3 linked regions of the Mytilus edulis genome follow. The protein of the gene in region 3 binds, or shares a complex with, the protein of the main gene of each other region. Links are inferred from orthologs where the notes say so. Each region holds a gene or a part of one and is shown on either strand. Other genes may lie near its edges.

What was found.
Region 1: the proteins of translation initiation factor eIF2B subunit epsilon-like (region 3) and translation initiation factor eIF2B subunit beta-like are in contact, whole or in part, in a cryo-EM structure (PDB 6O81), measured with the Homo sapiens proteins. The link is inferred for Mytilus edulis from reciprocal best matches to the Homo sapiens genes EIF2B5 and EIF2B2. Residues at the interface, in NP_003898.2 of Homo sapiens: Glu81, Thr84, Ala85, Thr115, Leu117, Lys186, Glu187, Ser188, Ser189, Ser191, His192, Pro193, Thr194, Leu245, Lys294, Glu295, Tyr296, Asp312, Arg315, Arg316, Trp317, Tyr319, Pro320, Ala325, Asn326, Asp329, Thr336, His337, His340, Asn341; in NP_055054.1 of Homo sapiens: Ser12, Glu13, Glu16, Glu20, Lys23, Arg24, Asp283, Lys287, Phe288, Val289, Ala290, Pro291, Glu292, Glu293, Leu295, Pro296, Phe297, Thr298, Gly300, Asp301, Leu303, Glu304, Val306, Ser307, His309.
Region 2: the proteins of translation initiation factor eIF2B subunit epsilon-like (region 3) and translation initiation factor eIF2B subunit gamma-like are in contact, whole or in part, in a cryo-EM structure (PDB 7VLK), measured with the Homo sapiens proteins. The link is inferred for Mytilus edulis from reciprocal best matches to the Homo sapiens genes EIF2B5 and EIF2B3. Residues at the interface, in NP_003898.2 of Homo sapiens: Pro190, Val202, Arg222, Arg223, Phe224, Ala225, Phe226, Pro227, Leu228, Phe231, Gln232, Ser234, Ser235, Asp236, Gly237, Val238, Glu239, Val240, Arg241, Tyr242, Asp243; in NP_065098.1 of Homo sapiens: Arg155, Phe157, Glu178, Glu179, Leu180, Val181, Ile182, Lys183, Gly184, Leu187, Gln188, Pro191, Arg192, Ile193, Arg194, Phe195, His196, Thr197, Gly198.

Annotation. Positions count from the first base shown.
Region 1 is NC_092344.1:90,857,392-90,865,132, reverse strand, and holds the start of translation initiation factor eIF2B subunit beta-like, read right to left. Parts: upstream 3,036-7,741; 5' UTR 2,988-3,035; coding exon 2,890-2,987; intron 242-2,889; coding exon 155-241; intron 1-154. Other genes in the region: SET domain-containing protein 9-like, read left to right, coding at 3,161-3,243. UniProt on the Homo sapiens protein: Acts as a component of the translation initiation factor 2B (eIF2B) complex, which catalyzes the exchange of GDP for GTP on eukaryotic initiation factor 2 (eIF2) gamma subunit.
Region 2 is NC_092344.1:35,350,717-35,357,950, forward strand, and holds the start of translation initiation factor eIF2B subunit gamma-like, read left to right. Parts: upstream 1-4,202; 5' UTR 4,203-4,336; intron 4,337-5,995; 5' UTR 5,996-6,029; coding exon 6,030-6,177; intron 6,178-7,234. UniProt on the Homo sapiens protein: Acts as a component of the translation initiation factor 2B (eIF2B) complex, which catalyzes the exchange of GDP for GTP on the eukaryotic initiation factor 2 (eIF2) complex gamma subunit.
Region 3 is NC_092351.1:90,196,857-90,204,698, reverse strand, and holds the start of translation initiation factor eIF2B subunit epsilon-like, read left to right. Parts: upstream 1-4,820; 5' UTR 4,821-4,835; coding exon 4,836-4,955; intron 4,956-7,416; coding exon 7,417-7,541; intron 7,542-7,842. UniProt on the Homo sapiens protein: Acts as a component of the translation initiation factor 2B (eIF2B) complex, which catalyzes the exchange of GDP for GTP on eukaryotic initiation factor 2 (eIF2) gamma subunit.

The sequences.
Region 1 (7,741 bases), on a different chromosome or scaffold from region 3:
TATCAACTAAGCTGCATGTTGTGCACTCACACTGTTATATTTAAAGGTTTTATAATGAGGGAGAATTTGGATGTTTTATACTTATTGACTGGGTACATGTATGAGTGGAATAGCAAGTTTATTGTCCCCCAACTATTGCCCTGTATATGGTTACCTAGCTGTTGTCCATTTAGTCTGTGATATCACCCTGACCAGCAGGGAAACTGTTCTGTATGCTACATTATAGGAACCTTCTACACTTCTGTAAAATAGAAATAATGTTCAATTACTGTGTTTTTTAACATTCAATATTCTGTGTCATACAGGAAGTCAGATCATAGTTGTTGTTCTAATAGAAATGTCAAACTTACTGTTGATATATATATCTGCATAGTATTTAGTATGTGAGTTTTGCCATTTAAAATAAAAAATGTATAACAAACTACAATTATCCATTGTCACTGAGGGTTTGAAAGCCTAAACTAAGGGTGCTGATACAACCCCAAGAGGGAGTGTTAAAATCTCTGATGGTTTGTGGAAAGAAAGTCTTTCCAGTATTCACTTGATGATGCTGCAATTTGGAAGTTTCTGTCATAAATGTACTTGACAGTCGTTCAGGTGCACCAGACAACATTCCTTTTTCACTGCAACTCATCATTTATAATTCTGAAGAGAATGGTGAGTATAATTTGCATCTTTAAGATCTAACAAATTTATTTATAGTGGATTGGGAAACATGTTATTACAACTTATATAAATTCCTTTCCACTTTGCTGGTGTGAGTGAGCTGCCTGCTCTTTTTACAGTCCCTGATATTTCCTCCACTGAACAAACCAGGAACATCTATACATGTACTATTAAACGAGAAGACCTCATTTTGGGTGTCGCTTCTCTTCTTTCCACAATAAATTAATCAACACGCCTCTGTTTCCTATAGGTACAGTGCATAGTCGCATTTGTCATCCATTTATATGATTATTCAGATTGAGTTATTTTGGGAGAAAAACGAGAAAAAAGGCATCCAGATATTGTCCCGTCATTGGACGAAATTTTAAGTCAGATTAGACTTCCGGTTTGTGTTTTTCTATATACTTTGTATTTTAATTCTATCTGCTATCATTTTCAAGTTTACTATCCAGGGCGGTCACAGATTTTATTAAATGGAGAGGGTCTGTATACTATATCAATTGACCACCATGGATCGATTAGTAAACTTGGAATTGAAAGTAAATACACTTTATTTATATAGCAATGAATGTTCATAATATACAGATAAGCGCTAAAATTATTCATGTAAACTTTTGATACCTTTTCTAAAATTCTCCAGTCATTAAATCTTTTACAAAATTCATTTATTATAACAACAAAAAAAGATGTGGTATGATTGCCATGTTGAGACAATCTCCACAAGAGACCAAAATGACACAGAAATTAATAACTATAGGTCACCGAACAGCCTTCAACAACGAGCAAAGCCCATACCGAATACTCAGCTTTTAAAGGCCCCGAAATGATGATGTAAAACAATTCAAACGAGAAAACTAGCGGCCATATTTATGTACAAAAAATGAACGAAAAACAAATATGTAACACATAAACAAACGACAACCACTGAATTACAGGTTCCTTACTTAAATGTTCATAACATACTAAATGTATGTTCATATTGAAATTGATAGAAAACCAAAAATTGGGAATTTTGGAAATGAAGAAGGAGGTATAAAAAAAAACATTTTCCTGTCCCCAATAACCTATGACTTATGATACATTTGCTGAAATTCTCCAGTCATTCAATATTTTACAAAATTCTTCCAACAACACTTTACATACTTTAAACTACGGTCTGAATGCCCGCGATTTCGCGGGTGTGTTCTAGTATGTGTTTATAGTTCGAAGCGCTAACCACAACACCACAGTTCTCCTTTACATCTTTGCCTTTGCTCCGATTGAGCATCTCGGTTACACTTCAGTGATCATGCAGTTTGTTCATTTTTAATGTCTAAGTGGGTCTGAGGTAGTCCAAATAATTATAACGTCTGGCAAGGCTATTTTAATTTTTTTCTGGGACTCCTTCCTCACCCCCTCTCAGGCCGCGAAACGTACCAAAAAAAATAAATAAAAAAATAATTAAAACAAAGTTGTACTTAGCCGAGTCAGCCACACCCACATCACCGCGATGTCGAGTATCGAGACCGGTAAGCCGTTATTGACTTTTTGGGCTGACGCCCCGTGGAGGAGGAGGAAGCCAGCAGATGTGTCCGTCTGAAGCGGACAAATCTACTAGTCAAAAGGCTTATAGTCTCAAGAGATCGCAGTGAGCTGGCTGCTCTACCAAGTATGACACCCCGACAGAGAGCTAGGTCGTCTACGAATGATTTTACACCTCTGCTTCGCATGGGGTTGATATCGTTTCGACCCACCACGTTGTAGGAAGGCGTCCCAGAAAAAAAATAAAATAGCCTTGCCAGACGTCATAATTATTTGGACTAGGTCTGAGGAGACTCATACACCTTATCGCTATTTGTCCGCCATTGCTGGAAATCACACAGGTTCCCGTAAAATTTTGACGTCATAAAACAAAATGTCTGACGCCACAATGGAAAAGTGATTGTTGTTGACGTCAAAAGTTCAAGCGGACGGGTCAGCCGGGAATAGCGATAAGGTGTATTGTCATTGACAGTCCGACACAGTCACTTGTTTCTATCCATTGGAAGACCCACTAGATACACGTTGATCGTGGGTCTTCCCAATGGATAGAAACAAGTGCCGATCTGTCTTCATAGATGCCTAAGCATGCTATAAAGATGGTCCGAGTTGATTTTTTAGTAGACGATCCGAGTTGTCTCGCACCTTGTGGAATGCGTTATTTATTTTAAACTATGATTAATATTTAAATGAATATTTTGTTACCCTTGTTTCAATTCTCTTATAAAGTTTCCAATTCTTTCGTTTAAGTCTTCAATTTTTTCATCACCAGCAGGCATGTTTACATTTATGCCAATTTGCATTCAACAAACAAAAACTCCAGAGACCTTCCAAATAAAAAAACACAAAACTATCCAATAGAAAATCAAATTCACCTCGTTACTGCAAGATGGATGCGCCCATGGTTAAATTTCTTTGACATTTCATCAGGACGAATAAATAATGTCCTTCGAAAGAAGATTAATAATCATTTGTAATGATCTTTAGATATTTGAAAAATAAATGGAAAAATTACAGATACAGATTTACTCCTTGGATCATAATGAACTTAAAAGAAAGGTACACATGATTGCTGAAAAAAACGAATCTGCTTGGAAGTAAAGTGACTGATACCTAAGGCAGCAACCATTTGATTTTCGTGGGGGGCTATGTTTTTTTTTGGAAAAAAAAGTTTGTTTCCAGTTTTTGGAGAAAAAAATAATTTGTTTTTGATTCTGAGAAAAAAAAATTGTTTGTTTCACCCTCAGCTGCCACTATATGTAATGCTAAAACTGAAAGAAAAAAATTGTTTTCGACTTGTCGCGAAAAAAATAGATTGTTTTTCGCCACAGGCGGAAAAAAAAATTTGTCCAGAAAAAAAAAACCATAGCCCCCCCCAGAAAATCAAATGGTTGCTGTCTAATAACACGTGACATGATCAGTACATATTGATCTGGATTTTTTTTATTGTCAATAGAGAAAAATGACAACTTTTCCATCCCTTCAGAAACAATAATGCCATTGTTGGGTGATTTTTAAATTTTTTAAATGTTTTTCCTTATTATACAACCATCGTATAATGGTATCATGTCGTTGTCATTGGCGTCTGCATCGTTCGAAGACACATTCAGTTTCCGGACAATAACTAATAACATTCAGTGAATGGATCTCTATAATTTTTTACCAGAAGGTTCAATACACCTAATCACTATTTGTCCGCCAATGCTGGAAATCACACAGGTTCCCGTAAAATTTTGACGTCATAAAACAAAATATCTGACGCCACAATGGAAAAGTGATTGTTGTTGACGTCAAAAGTTCAAGCGGCCGGGTCAGCCGGGATTAGCGATAAGGTGTATACCACTAAAGGAAGGTTGGGATTGATTTTGGGGGTTATAGTCCCAACAGATTAGGAATGATGGGCCAAAAAGGGGCCCAAAATAAGCATTTTTGTAGTTTTCAAACAATAACTTGTGTTTAAGTGTATGAATCGCTCTGAAATTATACCACAAGTTTCCATACCATGAAGGGATGGTTAGTAATGACTTTGGGGGCTTATGGCTGAAAATGTTTTGGAATTGGGGGCTATAAAAGGGGAATTAGGGGCAAAAAAAATGGGGGGGGGACGGAAATAGGTTTTGGGGAGAATAACTTTAGATTTAGTGAATGGATCTCTATAAATTTTTACCAGAGATTCAATACCACTAATAGAAGGTTGGGATTGATTATGGGGGTTATGGTCCCAATAGTTTAGGAATTAGGAGCCAAAGAGAGGCCAAAAATAAGCATTTTGTAGTTTTCAAACAATAACTTATGTTTCAGTGTATGAATCTCTCTGAAATTAACCACAAGTTTCCATACCAAGGGATGGTAAGTAATGACTTTGGGGGGTTATGGCTCAAACTTTTTTGGAATTAGGGGCAAAAAAGGGGGAATTAGGGGCAAAAAGGGAAAAACTAGGTTTTTCTGGTCAATGGACAATTAAGACAATTTAAAAGCAGTGTAAGGGAGGTAATTCAAAAACAGTTAGCATACAATGTTGGGTGTGTTCGGATTACACTACTTTTTAAGGTGTAATACCACCAAATCATGGTACGTCACATCCGGTTGCATACAAAGCAGGTAACCAGTAAATAACAGTGTAAAAATTTGGTTGTCTACCCTCGGCGGTGGTTACTTTCTTATATGCAATGAAATGTAGTGTGAAATTTTCACTGTATCACCGGAAAGGATTGAACTTTACACATGCAAAGTATTTCTTTGGTTGAAATAAAGGTAAATACTGTACGATTTTTTTTAAAAGTGTCAATTTAACAAAGACTTAAAGGGAAAAATCAATGGTGGTATTACACCTTAATAATGAAATGCAAGGTTTTGGACTTATTGCAAAAAAAGGGGGGTAGTAGTTTTCAATTTTTTTCCCAAATTCCAATTTTTGAAAAGTTTGAAGAAGAAATCTTTAATTGCGCAATATTGCACAATATATTTGTAAGATCTTGAAAAAAATTTTGTGTCATAAACTCATATTATGTCAGGAATTTGATCACAATAAAAATTCAGAGCTGTATCAAGCTTGAATGTTGTGTCCATACTTGCCCCAATTGTTCAGGGTTCATCCTCTGCGGTCCTATAAAGCTGCGCCCTGTGGAGCACCTGTTTTTGTTTCTTAATTAATATATTTATGTAGGAAATGGAGTGAATAATGTATTGCCACCGTGTGGATCCAGAAAATGAATCACACTTCATCAGTGTATCCTTCCTACCCTGACAATGACTTGTGAAAGAATCTCAGAGCTGAGTCTGTTTGACAGAAAACTGTATAGGTGGTCATCATGAGGGTAGAAATGGGAGGAATCAGGGTCTGTTCTCCCTGATTCATGTTTGCCCAAATACCTGTTCACCAAGGGTCATTTCGTATGGCAAGCTGTTTTACTATTTATTTAAATTTCAAGATATCTTATATTATTTCATCTTAATAAGATATCTTATATTATTGTATAGTAATATAATATTTCCAACAGAAAGTAACCAAAAGTTAGCGTGCAATAAATTATACAGGTCATAACATGTACGAACTTTTTCCGAGCTGAATTTCAGTATTTAGGGTGCATTTTTCTTACAATTGAAATCAAAGTTACCAAAACATCAATGCATGTTCACTTGGTTAAGTAATTTTCAATCTTATTAATTATTATTTCATTGCACTTTTAAAAGATTTTGATAAATTTGTGTCTAATTTTCTTCTGTTATTGTGATGATGTAATTCAACCAGAAACATCAACTGCTAGGATATATTTTTCAAAGAGTAGTTTTAAAATGTTCATTTAACCAGTTATTCAGCCTTAAAACTGATTTTAATATTTGCTTCAAATTAGACTAAAGTGAAATATAGTAATACAGTTAAAGGAAGTATAACTGAAAAAAATAATTTTCAACTTTTTTTGAAAAATTGTATAAAGGTATAAAAATAATGAAAAGTTATATTTCAATATGTATTTGAATTATATTTTTTTGAAATTTAATATATTTCACCCAAAAAACGTAAATATAAGGAATAATTTTGAATGGTGACAAAAAAGGGGAAGTAACTCTAGTTGAAATATGTTTGTAAAACAACAGTGCAATTTATTTACGACCTAAAGCTAAGGTAATTGGTATTAATTAACGGTGTGTTTGACACCAATGCTGCCAAGTGAAGCCATGCACTTAATGGGCCACTTAATTTGACAGTTTACACAGCTAGATGAACTTCCTGTTCATGGAAGAATACGAATTTGCCGGAATTTCAAAGGACTATTACTTATGAAATCAACCTCAAGGCTAAGAAATACGGGTGAAAACGGGTCATTTTTGGAATTCCCGGGTTATTCAATGACCCGGTGGGGGTCCCGGGTGATCCTTTAGAATTGTGAAAATCTCGGGTCACACCCGCAGAATACGGGTCAGTTGACAGGTATGAAACTATTACATATAGCTTATAAACTTTATAAGATATCTCATATGATATATATCTCATATTATAAATAAGATATCTCATAAAAAAACAGATTATATAAAATAGAAGATATCCTCTAATATTATTAATTGTATATTTTAACAAATTTGAATCGTTAAGGGATAGTCACATGTTAAGGGCATACCGTACAGTTACAGGGGATGTAATGACGTTGCTAAAGTAAAATGTTATTTTCGCGACGTCAAACTATGAAACATGGGGAAAAGATGCATTTTTCGACTAATTTTTATCATTCAAACTGATTTAATTTGAAAACGAGCGCATGGACCCCTATTTTTAAAACGACATTTAGTTTCAGTTTGCAGGGAGATTATGTGGACCAAATTTTATAAAACTGTAAATAGTGCAATTTTTTAAAATTTTGATCAATATACAGCAACAAAATATGTTTTTTTCTCAATTCATGACCATTTGATAAATATGAGTTATTTCTGAATAAAAAATGCATAATTTTTTAGGATACTCATAAAATACAGAAATTACAAATTATTTAACAAAAAACAATTTGTGTTTATCTTTTAAAACAAAAAAGTTATGGTTTTCTTTCGAAAGGGAAAATACAGCCACAAATCCAAATTTTGAGCAAATATACAAAATTTCGACCTCATTTAACTTAAGAAGTAGCACATGAAGGTATATTTTTTATTACATATTTGATTTAATCAGGCAAAAAATAGCCTATATGGAAATTTTCATCAAACTGTAAATACGGAATCAAAACTGTATCGTATGCCCTTAAACTATATTTTTGAAGGTAGAGAGAAAACGGAGGATAGCAAAAAGAATATTGCACAGCAAAAAGCATATTGCACGGTTATTTTTTGAATATCTAAAAACCAATATACTTTGTGACGTCATGTAATGAATTTCAGGATATTGTTAAACCATCTTAAATGTTTTGAAACAAATGATATCTGTGATCGATTATTTAACAAAACAATCTTCAAATTCTTAAGAAGACAAACAAACAAACAAAAACAATTGAAATATCAACTAATATTTTGTTATTGTCAAGGAGACAATATGATATCTAAAAAATTCCAACAAAATCAAATGAAGATT
Region 2 (7,234 bases), on a different chromosome or scaffold from region 3:
TATTTAATCATAGTTATCGTTCATAGTTTCTAACAACACTTCTTCGAACGCAAGTCATCTCATGAATATTATTGCCGGCTCATGAATATTATTGAAGGCTGGCCTCATGAATATTAACGCCGGCTGCTATCGACGGCTAGATCCACACTAGTATACAAATCACTGTTTAGAATAGGTTGTGACTCTAAACCAATGTCTTCTGTGAAACCAATAAATTGTCTTCGTGCTCAAGAAAAATGAAGCAGTATTCTAGAAATATCGCTTGAATTGGATTTTTTATAAATAAACTTGAATTAAGCAAGATAGTAATGCAAGGACGCCATACACCATTATGATATGCGCATGATTCATAAAAACGGAAAACATCCTCATTTCCATTGTTAAAACACCTTACATAGCAAAGAAACCGCAATATAAGTTAAAAGCTGATCATTTTCTACACTGACTAGAAATTTTTGACAATTTTTAGTGTCAATGAACACAAAATTTCAATGAAATATAGTTCTAGCAAGGAAAAAGCTGAGATGACATACGACAGGATGAAAATGAATATTCTAAAACACAAAATGCAAGAAACACTGGTACAGGTGTGTACAAAGGTTAATGCTGAAAAAAAACACGTGTAGAAACAAATGTCAATCCACCCCCTCTTTTCCTATCCCCAAGAAAGGGTTGTCTTTTTAAATACAAATGTGTTTCACATTCAAACCTATACAGTTTATGACAACAGCTATTTATCAAATTGACGCCGCCGGTAAAGCAATATCATTCAGTCAAGTAAAAATGTAAAACCCCTGTCCAAGATGATATCATTCCATTACTTCTATATACCGGTAGTAAATAATGGTAGAATAAATTCTGAATAGAAAACCTGGTAATACAATTTCTGTTGCTGTCATGTGGCCAGTCTAGTTGGTGCCATTAACTTACATTTGATTTAATGTTGATGATTTTGCTTTAATTCGGAGATTAAACTTATAATTAAAAAAACTACAAAGGTGAATATTAACTGCAAAAAAAAATAATTATAAATTTTCATAATTAATTTTTTCTTTGATTTATTGAACTCACTGAAGCCGGGGACTGCATATATATCTTTGACATATAACCAAATATTTAGTTTCTTGTTAGAGGGTACACAAAATCATTCATGTCAAAATCAAGAAATTTTTACAGAACATGCACAATTCGTTCGGCAGAGGACATTTTAGCTCATTGATAGGACATTTTGGCGAAAGAAAATCGTACGTTTTAGCGCCAAAGTAGAACCCATTTTAGCGCCTGATTTTTAACCCATTTAAGCGAAAATTAAAATGTCAATGCCCATTTCAGCGAAATATTTTTTAACCGTTATAACAAATGATATATAATAAATAAGAAACTTTAATAGACTTAAGGCAGTACAATTTTTAAACATATCATATCCTAGATAGAATACAGCACTAAAAGTCTAAAAGGTTGAATCAAATGTTAAAAGTTCGTTCTAGTCTGGAATTTATATTCAAGAGAACGTACGTAATGGGTTCTGGCTATACCCCTCATACATTTACTGTTCATAGAATTGAATTAGGAACTGTTCTTTCTCTTTATCTGGTCTAGATTGTGGTGCACATTCGTCTTTACTTCATATTTTTCAAATATTTTGTTGTTTGCAATTTGATAATAGTATCACGAAAAACGTAAAAAGCAGGGTGACAACTATCAAATTGCTCAATATAATGAATGGTCATGGAACAACTGTGGACCATTATGTGTTCATGGTTATAGTAAGGTGAGTATTTTTCAACCAAGTAGGTTTTCGCCAAAGGCGGCTACCGAAAATACAGGTGAACGGATTAATCCGGCGCTAAAATTGGCTCTAATGTCGGCGCTAAAATGTCCCCATGATTTTTTTTTTATTTTTCGCTAAAATGTTCTGCGCCCCATTTCGTTATAACTGTTGCCAATGTATGACTATCACTTACGTGTCAGTCATGGAGGGTATAAGCCGCTCAGTATTCAGAACTGTACAGTACTGACATGATTTATAACAACATCTGCAAACAACTGTGTTCCGTTTGGGTGTAGGACATTTTAGCGAAAACATCTATACTACTTGGGGACATTTTAGTGCAGACATTAGAGCCCATTTTAGCGCAGGATTAATTTTACATTGGGTTGTAAATATTTGACTAAAATGAACCTTGATAATTTCAATTTTCGCTAAAAAAAAAATTGGGGTTCAAAGTCTTGCGCTAAAAAAAGGGTTATACTTTGGCGATTAATCGTCTGATTCATGATTTCGCTAAAATGTCCCCCGCCGGTCCCGTTTAGAAAATAAGAATTTATCACTGAGAAACTTAGGTTTTAATTTCTGTGTCTTTTTTTGTCACATAGCTCTTCAACTGTTTCAGTCCTTTTGAATAGAATAGAATTATAGAATAATTTTTATTTCCCAAATTACAGGGCCCATAAAGGGCATAAAATCAGATACAATTGATTTACATAATTGGTAACAACAACAATAATAGAGGCATATATATACATATATATTTGGAATATAAGCATTGGTCAGAATCAAGCTAAAAACCACATATATATTGTGAATAAAAGAATAATAAAATTACATTATACATGTATATGTATTTATTCTCAAATTATTTACTTGACTTAGTGTCAGAGTTCATACCTGATCTCCTTAATTCAAAACAGTCACAAATACAACAATCCAGTTTTTCCATAAGAGTAACATTTTCTTGGGTCAAGAGCCATAAAAATTTAGATGATTTATTTAAATTTATAAAATTATAACAATTGTTAGAAATGTCTTGAAAGAAATCGTCCCTTTGAATATCATAAAGAGGGCATTCTAATAAAAATTGAAGCTCATCTTCAACTTTACCAAGTGAGCAATTAGAACAAAGACGCTCCGAGATCTTTCTATATGCTTTTTTGAATATCTGTCTGTCTCAATTTTTAAACAGTGAGCACTTATTCTTAATTTACAAATTGACTTTTTGAAGTCCTGCAAAATTTTTCTTTTTTAAAACAATTTTTTATAGAAAAATAAGTACCAAGCTTCCCTTTTTCGGAGTTAATTGTTTGATACTTCAGTTTATTCCAAAATGTAAAATAACTTTTACATAGTTTATTTTTAACATACTGACATAAAGAACCAATTGATTGGTCAAAATTTGGTAATTCAATCTCTCTCTGAATATAATCTATACTAGAATACCATGTATTTACATTAGAGTTATGTAACTGTTTGCAACATATAAATGCATCAAATGATAATCCTTCTTTCAAATGTTCCAGTCTATGACAATATTTTAACATTGATAAAATTATAGTAAAATACATAGGAAATCTACCAAGCTCTGACATTACAGCTATATTACTTGACTTTCTGTTTACACCAAGAATATATTTCATAAATTTGGTATGAGCTTTTTCAGAAGAATCCTGACCAAAGACTTTTTCTAATATATAATCATTATCTTTTTTACAAGCAGCTGAATCCGTTCTAAATATTCCCCATCATGATTTCACTGCCATATAATAGTATGGGTTTAATTGTATGATCATAAAGATGTAAAAAAGTGGCAATACTAGGGTTAGATGATGACAAACATCTCTACATGTAGCTTAAAACAAGCTTTTAAAGATTTGTTGTATAATTCAACTTTACACTGCTTAAATATACCACTAGATGTAAATGTGATTCCAAGATATCTATATAATTTTGCGCTTTCAATCTCTCAGTTACCTCCAAAATGTAAACATCATTTAAAAAATTTTCCTGGCTTGTTAAAAATTACACTTTTTGTCTTTTTTAAATTTACATCAAAACACCATTCTAAACAATATTCATGTAACATATTAATTCTCTTTTGCAAGCCTTCCTGTGTTTCTGAAAAAATTACTACATCAGCATCCTTGGCCGTTTACATTATTCAGCTTTTATAGTGTCCCTGGGGTAAATTCAGATAAGCGCTTCGGACGCATGAAATTTATATTAATATAGTCGTGGTAAATCAATAATAAGGTAAACCTAATAACTTTAAAATATATGCTAAATTTTATATCAAATATTGGTCCGGTTACAAATGTTTTTGATCAGAATCTATCATTTATTCATTACCAATTAAGCAAATCCGTAAAATATTCTCATCATGTCCGTTTACGGTATAAACTTTAAATTCTTGGTCAGTCAACTGTTTATACCAGACGAAAAATCAATTTGCAAATAACAAATATTTTGACATTGAACATAAAAAAAAATTACCAATGCTTGCTTTTATTTCATCATTGAAGTCAAGTTGCCTTCTAAAGTAAATGCTTTGAAAAAAATCTTGTAAGTTATATTTGAAACTCTTTTCACAATCGTGAATAGTCCTTAGTACTGACTACAGTCGTCAATGATAGAGGAATCAGCTGAACAATGTAAAATAGACCATATGTCCACAGTCAGCTGTCCATTTTTTTTAATATGAGGCAGGCATTACCTGTGTAAGGGGACGAAGTCTGTATGATTTTTTTTTAATTCAAACATATCTTAATTTCAAAATGGAAATACCGTAACGTTTCCGATTTTGGTTCTGTTAGAGATTTTAGTTGTGACGTTATTAAAGTTATGACGTCATATGCAATGTAAACAAAGAAACATTATTATTAGGTAACAAAAATGAAATTGATATTGCGTTCCTTCCTATTTTATACTAGACTGATAAATATATATTTTACTCAAAATTTCATGCAAGCGAGACCAGAAAAAGGAAATACATTGTTGATTTCTGCGCAGATGCTGGAATTCAAAACATGACATAAAATAGTTTGAACGATTTTTAGTTCATTAATAGTACAATGAAATTATCGGGAAAATTTTCCCGATTTTTAAATTTTTTTCATTGAATTTTCTACTGTTATTGGGGACTTCGTTCCCATATTATTTATTTGACTCTTAAATTCATTGCTATGTGTAGAAAGGGTGCTTAGTGCTATGTGTATCAAATAGTTATTGCAACAAAGTTGTATATTCTGTTGAACTATTGACAACAGACAGCTGTGCAAAATCACAAAAGTATGCAAGTCACATTATCAACTATTACAAAAGAACACATGGGTAAACAAAATTGATTAAACAGAGACTCATATATACAAGTATATTGCTCTGAAAGTAAGTCAACCACAAGCTGCTGGGACAACAAAATTACAAGGTATTTGAAAAAGGGGGCACGAGGGAAGCCATATAGTCGGGTGTGACAAGACAAAATGAGAGCTGTGACCAAAACTTTACACCTTGCTTCTGATATTGTATGGCATGAATACATTTTTATTTGAAAGATACATATTTTATATTATTACATTATGACATGCTTCAATTTAGTATTTAGATGATGAAAAACCACAACATATTCAGGAGAACGGTGAAAACCAAATTTGATACTTGCTTGAGGGGTGACTAGGAATTGATAATGCCATGGAAATTTATTTCACACAATTACACGTACCTGTTACATCAAAAATTGTTAAACTGCATAACTGTCTGAAAATTTCATTAGAGTTTCCATACAAATGTAAACAAAGATATATTTGCTTTTAGACTATTTGCCAATTTTCACAATTAACCCTGTAATTTTTGTCTCCCTTATGAGGGATATAAATTTTTATTTACACTGGAGAGCTAGCAGAAAGAGCAAATTAACCTGTGCATAATATAAGTAAACCTTTAAGTTTTTCAAATCTTTTAATTTAATTAATTTGTTGTTTAGCTAAATACTTTTGTCACCAGAAGTTATTTTTCAAGAAAAATAGTTGAATCGTCGATACCTCACTTTCAACTTATCATGCTTTGCATTGACAAAAGCCAATTTTATCTGTTATAGAACCAGTCTACGAATGACAAATTAAAGGGAAGTAATTTGTTTAAAAAGTGTGATATTACAGAATCAAATGGGTAATTGACAAATGGACCATTAGGGTAAATACATCTTTTCTTTTTTTCTTTTGTCAGGTTACCAGATTTTTCCTTAAATATATTAAAAAAAATGGAGTTTATGCCAGTCATTATGGCTGCTGGGGAGGGGTCAAGGATGACAGATCTGACATCAAAGTGCCCAAAAGCTTTACTTCCGGTAGGAAACATGCCAATGATCTGGTATCCTGTTAATATGCTAGAGAGAGCTGGATTTGAAGGTTTGAGATTTGTTTATAATAATTTTTAGCTTAAAACATACATGTACATGCTCAGTGTTGTGAATTAGTTTTAGTTTCAGTTTAGCACTTTATCACTTTTATTTGTTTAACGTTTTACCGCCATTTACGTAACAATAGGCCCGCAACGTCGTCACTTGCCAACGTCTCTCTTGTATATTATAGACTAGTAAAGCATACGAAACATTGAAGACGCTTTTGTGTTTACTTATATCGATACGTCCAAAACATTGGTGCCGTGACAAAAACAGAAGAATACAAAAGATGAGTACCGCGACAACGAAGATGAAGACCAGACGAGCTGGACATCGGGGAGTTCTTACAAAGTTACTGAAGAAAGTGGAACCGAGTTCCGAGGAACTTTTGCAGGAATATGACGTTAGTGAACTTTCAACCATTCGAGGACTTATTGTGAAGAAGCAGGAAACGATCGATCAACTGAACGAGAAGATTGTGGAGGAACTATCGGAAGAGGAAGTGAGCGAAGAAATAGAGGAAGCCGACAGATACACATATGACATAGAAATGAGTGTAACTAAACTTTCAAAAATCATTAAGGAATCGGAAATCACAGTCAAACAGTCAAGTAAGTCATTGCTAAACCCAAATGCACACGAGTTTATTAATTACACAAATCATCAAGAAAGTCAGCCACAACCCAGTTTCATGCACGCAAATACATCAGCGTCCGTTTTTTCAAACTCCAGCATGTACCACAAACTTCCCAAATTAAATTTACCAACGTTCGGTGGGAATATGTTAGAATGGCAACCCTTTTGGGATTCGTTTAGTGCTGCCGTACACGATAACCTGTCTTTAAACGATGTACAGAAATTTAATTACTTGAAATCTCAACTGTTCGGAGAAGCCACCCAATGCATAGCAGGTCTACAAATAACTAACACAAATTACGGACAAGCATTACATGTACTGAAACAAAGATTCGGTCAACCACATAAGATAGTACAGACATACATGCAGAGTTTAATCAGCCTTCCTAGTCCAACGTCAAATATTACACATTTGAAAAAATTCTACG
Region 3 (7,842 bases):
TCAAAGAACCTAACTGATTCATTTTTTGTCAAAATCAAACTAAGTTTAATTTTGGACCCTTTGGACCTTAATGTAGACCAATTTGAAAACGGGACCAAAAGTTAAGAATCTACATACACAGTCATGACAGTTAGATTCGGCATATCAAAGAACCCCAATTATTCAATTTTGATGAAATCAAACAAAGTTTAATTTTGGACCCTTTGGGCCCCTTATTCTGTTGGGACCAAAACTCCCAAAATCAATACCAACCTTCCTTTTATGGTCATAAACCTTGTGTTTAAATTTCATAGATTTCTATTTACTTATACTAACGTTATGGTTGGTAAACCAAGAAAAATGCTTATTTGGGTCCCTTTTTGGCCCCTAATTCCTAAACTGTTGGGACCTAAACTCCCAAAATCAATACCAACCTTCCTTTTGTAGTCATTAACATTGTGTTTAAATTTCATTGATTTCTATTTACTTAAACTAAAGTTATTGTGCGAAAACCAAGAATAATGCTTATTTGGGCCCTTTTTTGGCCCCTAATTTCTAAACTGTTGAAACCTAAACTCCCAAAATCAATCCCAATCGTTCTTTTGTGGTCATAAACCTTGTGTCAAAATTTCATAGATTTCTATTAACTTAAACTAAAGTTATAGTGCGAAAACCAAGAAAATGCTTATTTGGGCCCTTTTTGGCCCCTAATTCCTAAAATGTTGGGACCAAAACTCCCAAAATCAATACCAACCTTCCTTTTGTGGTCATAAACCTTTTTTTAAAATTTCATAGATTTCCATTCACTTTTACTAAAGTTAGAGTGCGAAAACTAAAAGTATTCGGACGCCGGACAACGACGACGACGACGCCGACGCCAACGTGATAGCAATATACGACGAAAAAATTTTCAAATTTTGCGGTCGTATAAAAACTATTGTTTTTACACTCAGCCTGCCTTTGTCTAAAAATTCTTTTTTCTGAAAAAATTCTGTAGATAGACTATGGTACACAGAAGAAGATGTAGACTTTATACACTAATACTATGCATATGGTATACAGAAGAAGAAGTAGATGTTATACACTACTATACATATATGCAGCAGAAATAAGCAATACATAATACATACAACAGATATAAAGATAAGAATTGCCTAACAATTTGCTTTGACTGATTGCTATCACAATCATGACAATTGTAACAGATATTTATAATGATGTTATAGGCCGAATTTGGTTTAATATTCTTATGTTTGGTTTCATTTCATTCAGTAGTTCTCTTAAAGAAGACATTTGTATGTATTTCCTATAGGGTACCATTATCTGGCTGCCATCTTGGATAATGGATCGGGTACTATGTAACAACACTTGGTCAGCACCTCATAAGGAACATTCATGCCATGTTTGATTTCATTCCATTTAGTGCTTTTCTAAAAGAAGACATTTGTATGTATTTCCCATGGGGTAGTAGGGGTACTGTGTTTAACAGAGTCCCCCCGCTGGCGGCCATCTTTGATGATGGATCGCTTACAAAGTAATAACACTTGGTCAGCACCTCATAAGGAACATTCATGCTATGTTTGGTTTCATTCTATTCCATGGTTCTCTAAAAGAAGACATTTGTAAGTATTTCCTATAGGGTCCCATGTTAAACTAAGTCCCCCTGGTGGCCATCTTGGATGATGGATCAGCTACAAAGTAACAACACTTGGTCAGCATCTCATAAGGAGCATTCATGCTATGTTTGCTTTCAATCCATTCAGTGGTTCTCTAAAAGAAGACATTTGTATGTATTACCCATAGGGTCCCATGTTAAACTAAGTCCTCCCTGGCAACAATCTTGGATAATGGATCGGGTACAAAGTAACAACACTTGGTCAGCACTCCATAAGGAACATTCATGCCATGTTTGGTTTTGTTCCATTTAGTGGTTCTCTAGAAGAAGTTCAAAATGTTAAAACTACCACAACGGACGATGGACGCCAAGTGATGAGAAAAGCTCACTTAGCCCTTCGAGCCAAGTGAGCTAAAAATGTGTAATTGGTCTTTATAATTATCTATTATCATGATTATGATCTGCTATTCTGAATTTTAAAATCTAAACTTCACAGTCATATATGTATATTCAGAGTATCAAATAAAAGAACCCCAAGATTTAAATTTTGTAGAAATTAAACAAATTTCATTTTTATCATTTTGACCTATAAATGAGGACCAATTTAAAAATGAAGCCCAAAATCCATATTTCACATTCATTACATACATGACATACAAGGTTGGATTCAGCATATTTAAGAAATCCCAAGAATTCAAGAATACGCTATCTATTCAAACATGAAAAAAAAAAAAATGTTTTGGCTCCTTTCTCCGAAACTGACAGAGCAATAACCCCCAAAATCATTCTCAACTTTCCAGTTTTTATATAGATCCTTGTGGTTCAATTTCAAGAGAATCCACAGACTTGTGCTTATACTCAACAAGAGTGCACACGCTGAAATGTCTCTCCTTCTTTACTATTCATTGATATCATGTTGATAGTCTTTAATTGAAAGCTTTATTTATACAACATAAACTTTGCTTGTAAAATACACCTTAAAAAAATAGGAAGGGTTGTAGACATGGTAGATGTAGATGTTCCTTTTAATACATGTAAGAGGTAAATGCATGGGAATGATAACTTCCTTGGTAATATAATTTCCAGTATTATGACATTGTGACATGTAATTACAGCGTCATTATAAGTTAACAATGTTTGACTTTCTAGTACATGTATATATCATGTAAATGATGTATATATCAATTTGAGAATGGAAATTGGGAATATGTCAAAGAGTGCCTTTTCAATCAAATCAAATCAAATAATTCTATTGGTGTCAATTCCAATACAGGAATGATACCAGCAGACATTTACAAAACACAAATACAAAAAATAAACAATAAAACAAATATAAAGACACATATTTTATACAATGGGGGTGTTAATCATACTACATTACAAACTCAAGATATTACAATATAAGCTTTAAAACTACAAAAGTTCTTAACAACATTATGTTTGCTTTAAATGAATGTTTGAATCATACATATCGCTTATTCCAGCTACAGCTATACGTTGAATTGTGATGTCGAAATTTTCCAGGAATCAGATTATCTTTGCCCATGTTGCCCTCACCAGTTATTGTGGAAAAATAGCAATAAGGTTATACATGTAGTTTAAAAATGAATACATTTACCATGGGCATGATGGGTGATAAATGAACCAGGATCTGATTTGACTAGTAGTCTCCAATACACCTTATCTCTATTTGTCGACATTACTGGACATCACACGTTTCCGTAAAAATTTTGACGTCATAATAGAATCTGGGTCCATTCGCCCTAGTACCTGTTCGCCCCGATACCTGTTAGATTTTTATTTTTTTCTAATTGTTAGATACATGGTCTAGTCGCATAATTTTAAGTATTTTAACAAAATATGTTAAAGTTTGTTGAAAATTGACAGAATATTTAAATTGCTGCAATCAATGTATCATTCTCCCTTTGATTTGCAGAGTAGAATACTTGGAATACAATGTATAAATTTATCTTTATTGATATTTGTTAACAAAATAATTGTATTCAGCTGTAAATCACAAATGTATGCATTTCAACTGAGACTAGTCCCACTGAGAGTATTATAATAAATGAACTTGAAAATCTGTTTCATGATTTACAGTTCGTACACCAATGAATGTTTTTATTTATTTCAAGCTGTTTGTTTTTATCATTGACATTGTTTATTATCATGATTATTATAATCCTTCAAACGACAAGTTTCACAAAAATCAGTGATCGGAATTATTTTGTCATTGAACAATTAATGATCCTAATGATCATAAACAAGCCATAAACTGTTAAATATAAGAATATATATACCATAGAAATATCTGAATAAGTTTATTCAACTTTAATCACTGAATGCCCTGAATATTAATATTTTTAAGTAGGGCGAACGGACTCTATGGGCAAATGAACTCAGGGCGAATGGACATAAGGCAAACATGTCATTAGGGTGAACGTACACAATACCGTCATAATACAAATACATTGAAATAGGAAATTTATTTTAAGTTGGGTTATATATGAAATACTACAAATGAAAATCGGATTGTTGTATGACATCAATAGTTCAAGCGGGACAGATTCTCTGGTCAGCCGGGAATAAGCGATTAGGTGTATTTGACCAGGTGCTGAAGAAACTAGAATTTGCCCAACAAAAGGCAACATCATGAACATGATCGATCGCCCAACTGAAAAGGAATTCCTACCCTATTTATAAAAGGTAGCCCTTCAACAGACTGAGCAGTCTTCACGACGAGTGGCAGCCCAGGCTGGTAAAATTGCTCTCGGGCCTGTAAAAATCAGACCTACAGGCCAACAGAATCTAACTAAATATTTTCAAAAATTGAGCTGCAGGCCTGTAGATTTAGCAGTTCAGCGTGAAGACTGTCAGACTGAGCCAAGAAGTTTGTCATGAGCTCACCACTTATGATTAACTATCTACTATATGAACTAAGTAATCACGTAATCGAGCTGTATGATTCTTTTGTAAACAGAGCCCTATCTCATGAGATTTCGACTTCATTCGCGTCCATAGGCGTAGTGTAGTTTAGATTGCAATAGGTGCGGAGAACAGTGAGTTTGGATTACAGACGAATATAAAATGATTCTCGACAAACTTATAATGTCGTGTAATTTTTCTTACCCAAAGCGACTTCTAAGAGGGTCTAAACAGGTAGGAAAGTCGTTCGTTGTCGAGTTGGCGATTCCACAAACCGGAAGTACCGGAAGTTCAATAAAAATCAAAACATTGCAAAATGTCTGGAAAAGGCAAACAACGTGGAGCCGACATAAAACAAGAAGATATTCTACAAGCTGTTGTCATTGCAGATACTTTCAATGTTCGCTTTGCACCAATTACAGAAAAGAAACCCAGAGTAAAATTCAAATTTGTACTGCAACTGCCATTCACTTGTTCACAGCATGATGCAACTTTTTTCTTTAATTTGCTCATCATCTTTTATAGTTTTATCCTTGTATTCGTCATGTTCATAGATTGTAAAAAATTGTAAATATTAATTTGCTTCATGTAAAAAGTATACAATGTATAGTTCCCTTATTTTAAGAAATGTCCATGGAAAGATCTCTATGACTAGTTTTATGACAGCACACAGCCTAGTCCAAATAATTATGAATGTACATTGTAGGACAGAAAGTCACAGGACAAAAACTTAAAAGTCACAGGACAAAAAGTCACAATTCATTTTTTCTGATTATTTTCTTTGAATAAAAAATGCTTATTTTTACAAAAACATTTTTGTATTATTCTTGAAGTATTGTATATTAACAAACTTTGTAAGCAAAATTTATCAAAAAAAATATCAAAAATGATCAAATAATTGTTAAGAAAACAAAATGTCAAAGTAGATAAGCACTTAAATGCTTCATGGTGCCAAGAAATATATCCTTTGCATGATTAGAATTAAATAAATCTTCATTTTTCAAGTAAAATGATAAATTTCCTAAACTTTAATATGAATATATGTATAAAAAGTGAACATTTCAAGATATTCTCTTCTATATTCAAACATTTGTCAACAAATTATTTGTGACTTTTTGTCCTATCAAATTTCTGACTTTATGTCCTGTGACTTTTTGTCCTGTGACTTTCTGTCCGTTATAATTATGACGTCTGGCAAGGCTATTGTCAGATTGTAGGAAGGCGTCCCAGAAAAAAATAAAATAGCCTTGCCAGACATCATAATTATTTAGACTACTCACAGCCATGGCATAATCATGATAATATGTCAATTTGATATCGTCATGTGTCATGTTTTCATATCAGGGTAACATGAATGACAGAATGACTCTGTTATTATCGGAATAACACTTGTAATGACTGAATAACACTTGAAATTGTAATATCAGTTCATATTGGTGACTTTAAACATTGATCATGTTGATTGTTTCATAATAGTATATTATCGATGTAACTTACAACTTAAAAATGATTTAGATAAGCAGATATAAGTTCATAAAGATCATTTTAAATTGAATGTGTACATCGAACATGACAGCCATTGTGATTTCCGTGGTCCCGTATTGGATGTACACACTAAATTTAAAAAGTTTTTAATGAACGTTAATCTACTTTCTGTAATTAAATCATTCATAAGTCGTAGAACATGTAGTATACATGGAATACATTTGTACATCAATTATATACTATTAGTTAATAATGTTTTAAAGTCACCAATATGTGCAAATATTAAATTTTCAAGTTTTATTCGGTCATTTCAAGTGTTATTCAGATATTGACAGTGTTATTCCATCATTCGAGGTACCGTTCATATCATCCATTTTTCATCGGTGTCGATTGAACACGCTGGTAATGTGTTTTTTGGTTTCTATATTTGATACAACAACATTACAACTTCACAAATTTGATATGTATTAAAAGTCGCTTTATAAGACGTTAAAACAAATTTAAGAAAACTGACCTGTAGGATAAGCCATTTTTATTTAACCAAAAATAATGTCTTTTGTAGACACCCAGTGCCAATCTGAAAAATGAAAAAAAAATCACAATGTTACAATTTCATCATCTATATGAAACATCAACCAAAAACTTTTTTACTGGTTAGTTTAAGTACTGTAAAACTTGTATCAAATAACATGTAATTATAATTCTAGCAATTACCAGAACCACAACTATAGAAAATACTTATTTTAGGATTTAATAGTCATGTCCTGTCGGTATACCAGTATACTGATCCAGGTTTTACTTCATACAAAAACATATGACATATATATCACAAAACATATGACATATATCACAAAACATTATGACATATATCACAAAAACATCATGAACATATGACATATATCACAAAAACATATGACATATATCACAAAAAAATTAAAAACAGTAAAAAATCATAGTAAACCTTGACTAAAAAATCTAGATACCTAAACACATTTGACAGAACATGCTTTTAAAATTTGAGTGCACACGTGAATAAAAACTTAACAGTAAAATTTGTAAGCAATATTAATTGAAAATTTATTTCTAGAAACTAAGGTGGAACGTGGCATATTGTCAATGAAATTGACATGAAATTTAAAACATTGTCATAGGTAAAATAACGATAAATAGATTATCATTGGTCATGTTGGTCATCTGAACTGGATTGCTTTTTGGCATAGTAGCCCACATCTCAAATTGTGTACCCAAAATATATAGTTCTATACAAGAAAAGCAAACATTATAGTAGCCCACACCAAATTTTAGGGGCCATTGCCGAGTGGGCCCCTGCTAATTTCAAATCCATGTTAGACATTTAGAAGATCAACAATAATCTTTAAGGAATTTTATGTATTTTATTTTGATTGTTGCAGACATTACTTCCTGTGGTTAATGTCCCTATGTTGGATTATACCTTGGAATTTCTGGCAGCCGGAGGAATCCAAGAAATCTTTGTCTTCTGTTGTCATCTAGCTGATCAGATCAGAACACATATCAGGTATATTCAGTTAGAACACATATCAGGTATTTTCAGTCAGAACAGTGAGAACACATATAGCTCAACATGCAGACTTCTTGTACGTTCAGGCTTAAATTAAAATATTGTTTGTTTGCAGTTTACCAACCGACCCTTGAAAATCCTCCCGACCGTGAAAATTTTATTGCTTTAAATTTGAAGATTTTTTTTTTAATACCTCTATTGACGCGATCCGGAACTTTCGGTCCTTTCCGGAAATGATTTAAAGTCTGGGTCAATTACGCATTTCAAGTTCGGTTTTTCTTAGCTTCCCGTCAAGCGT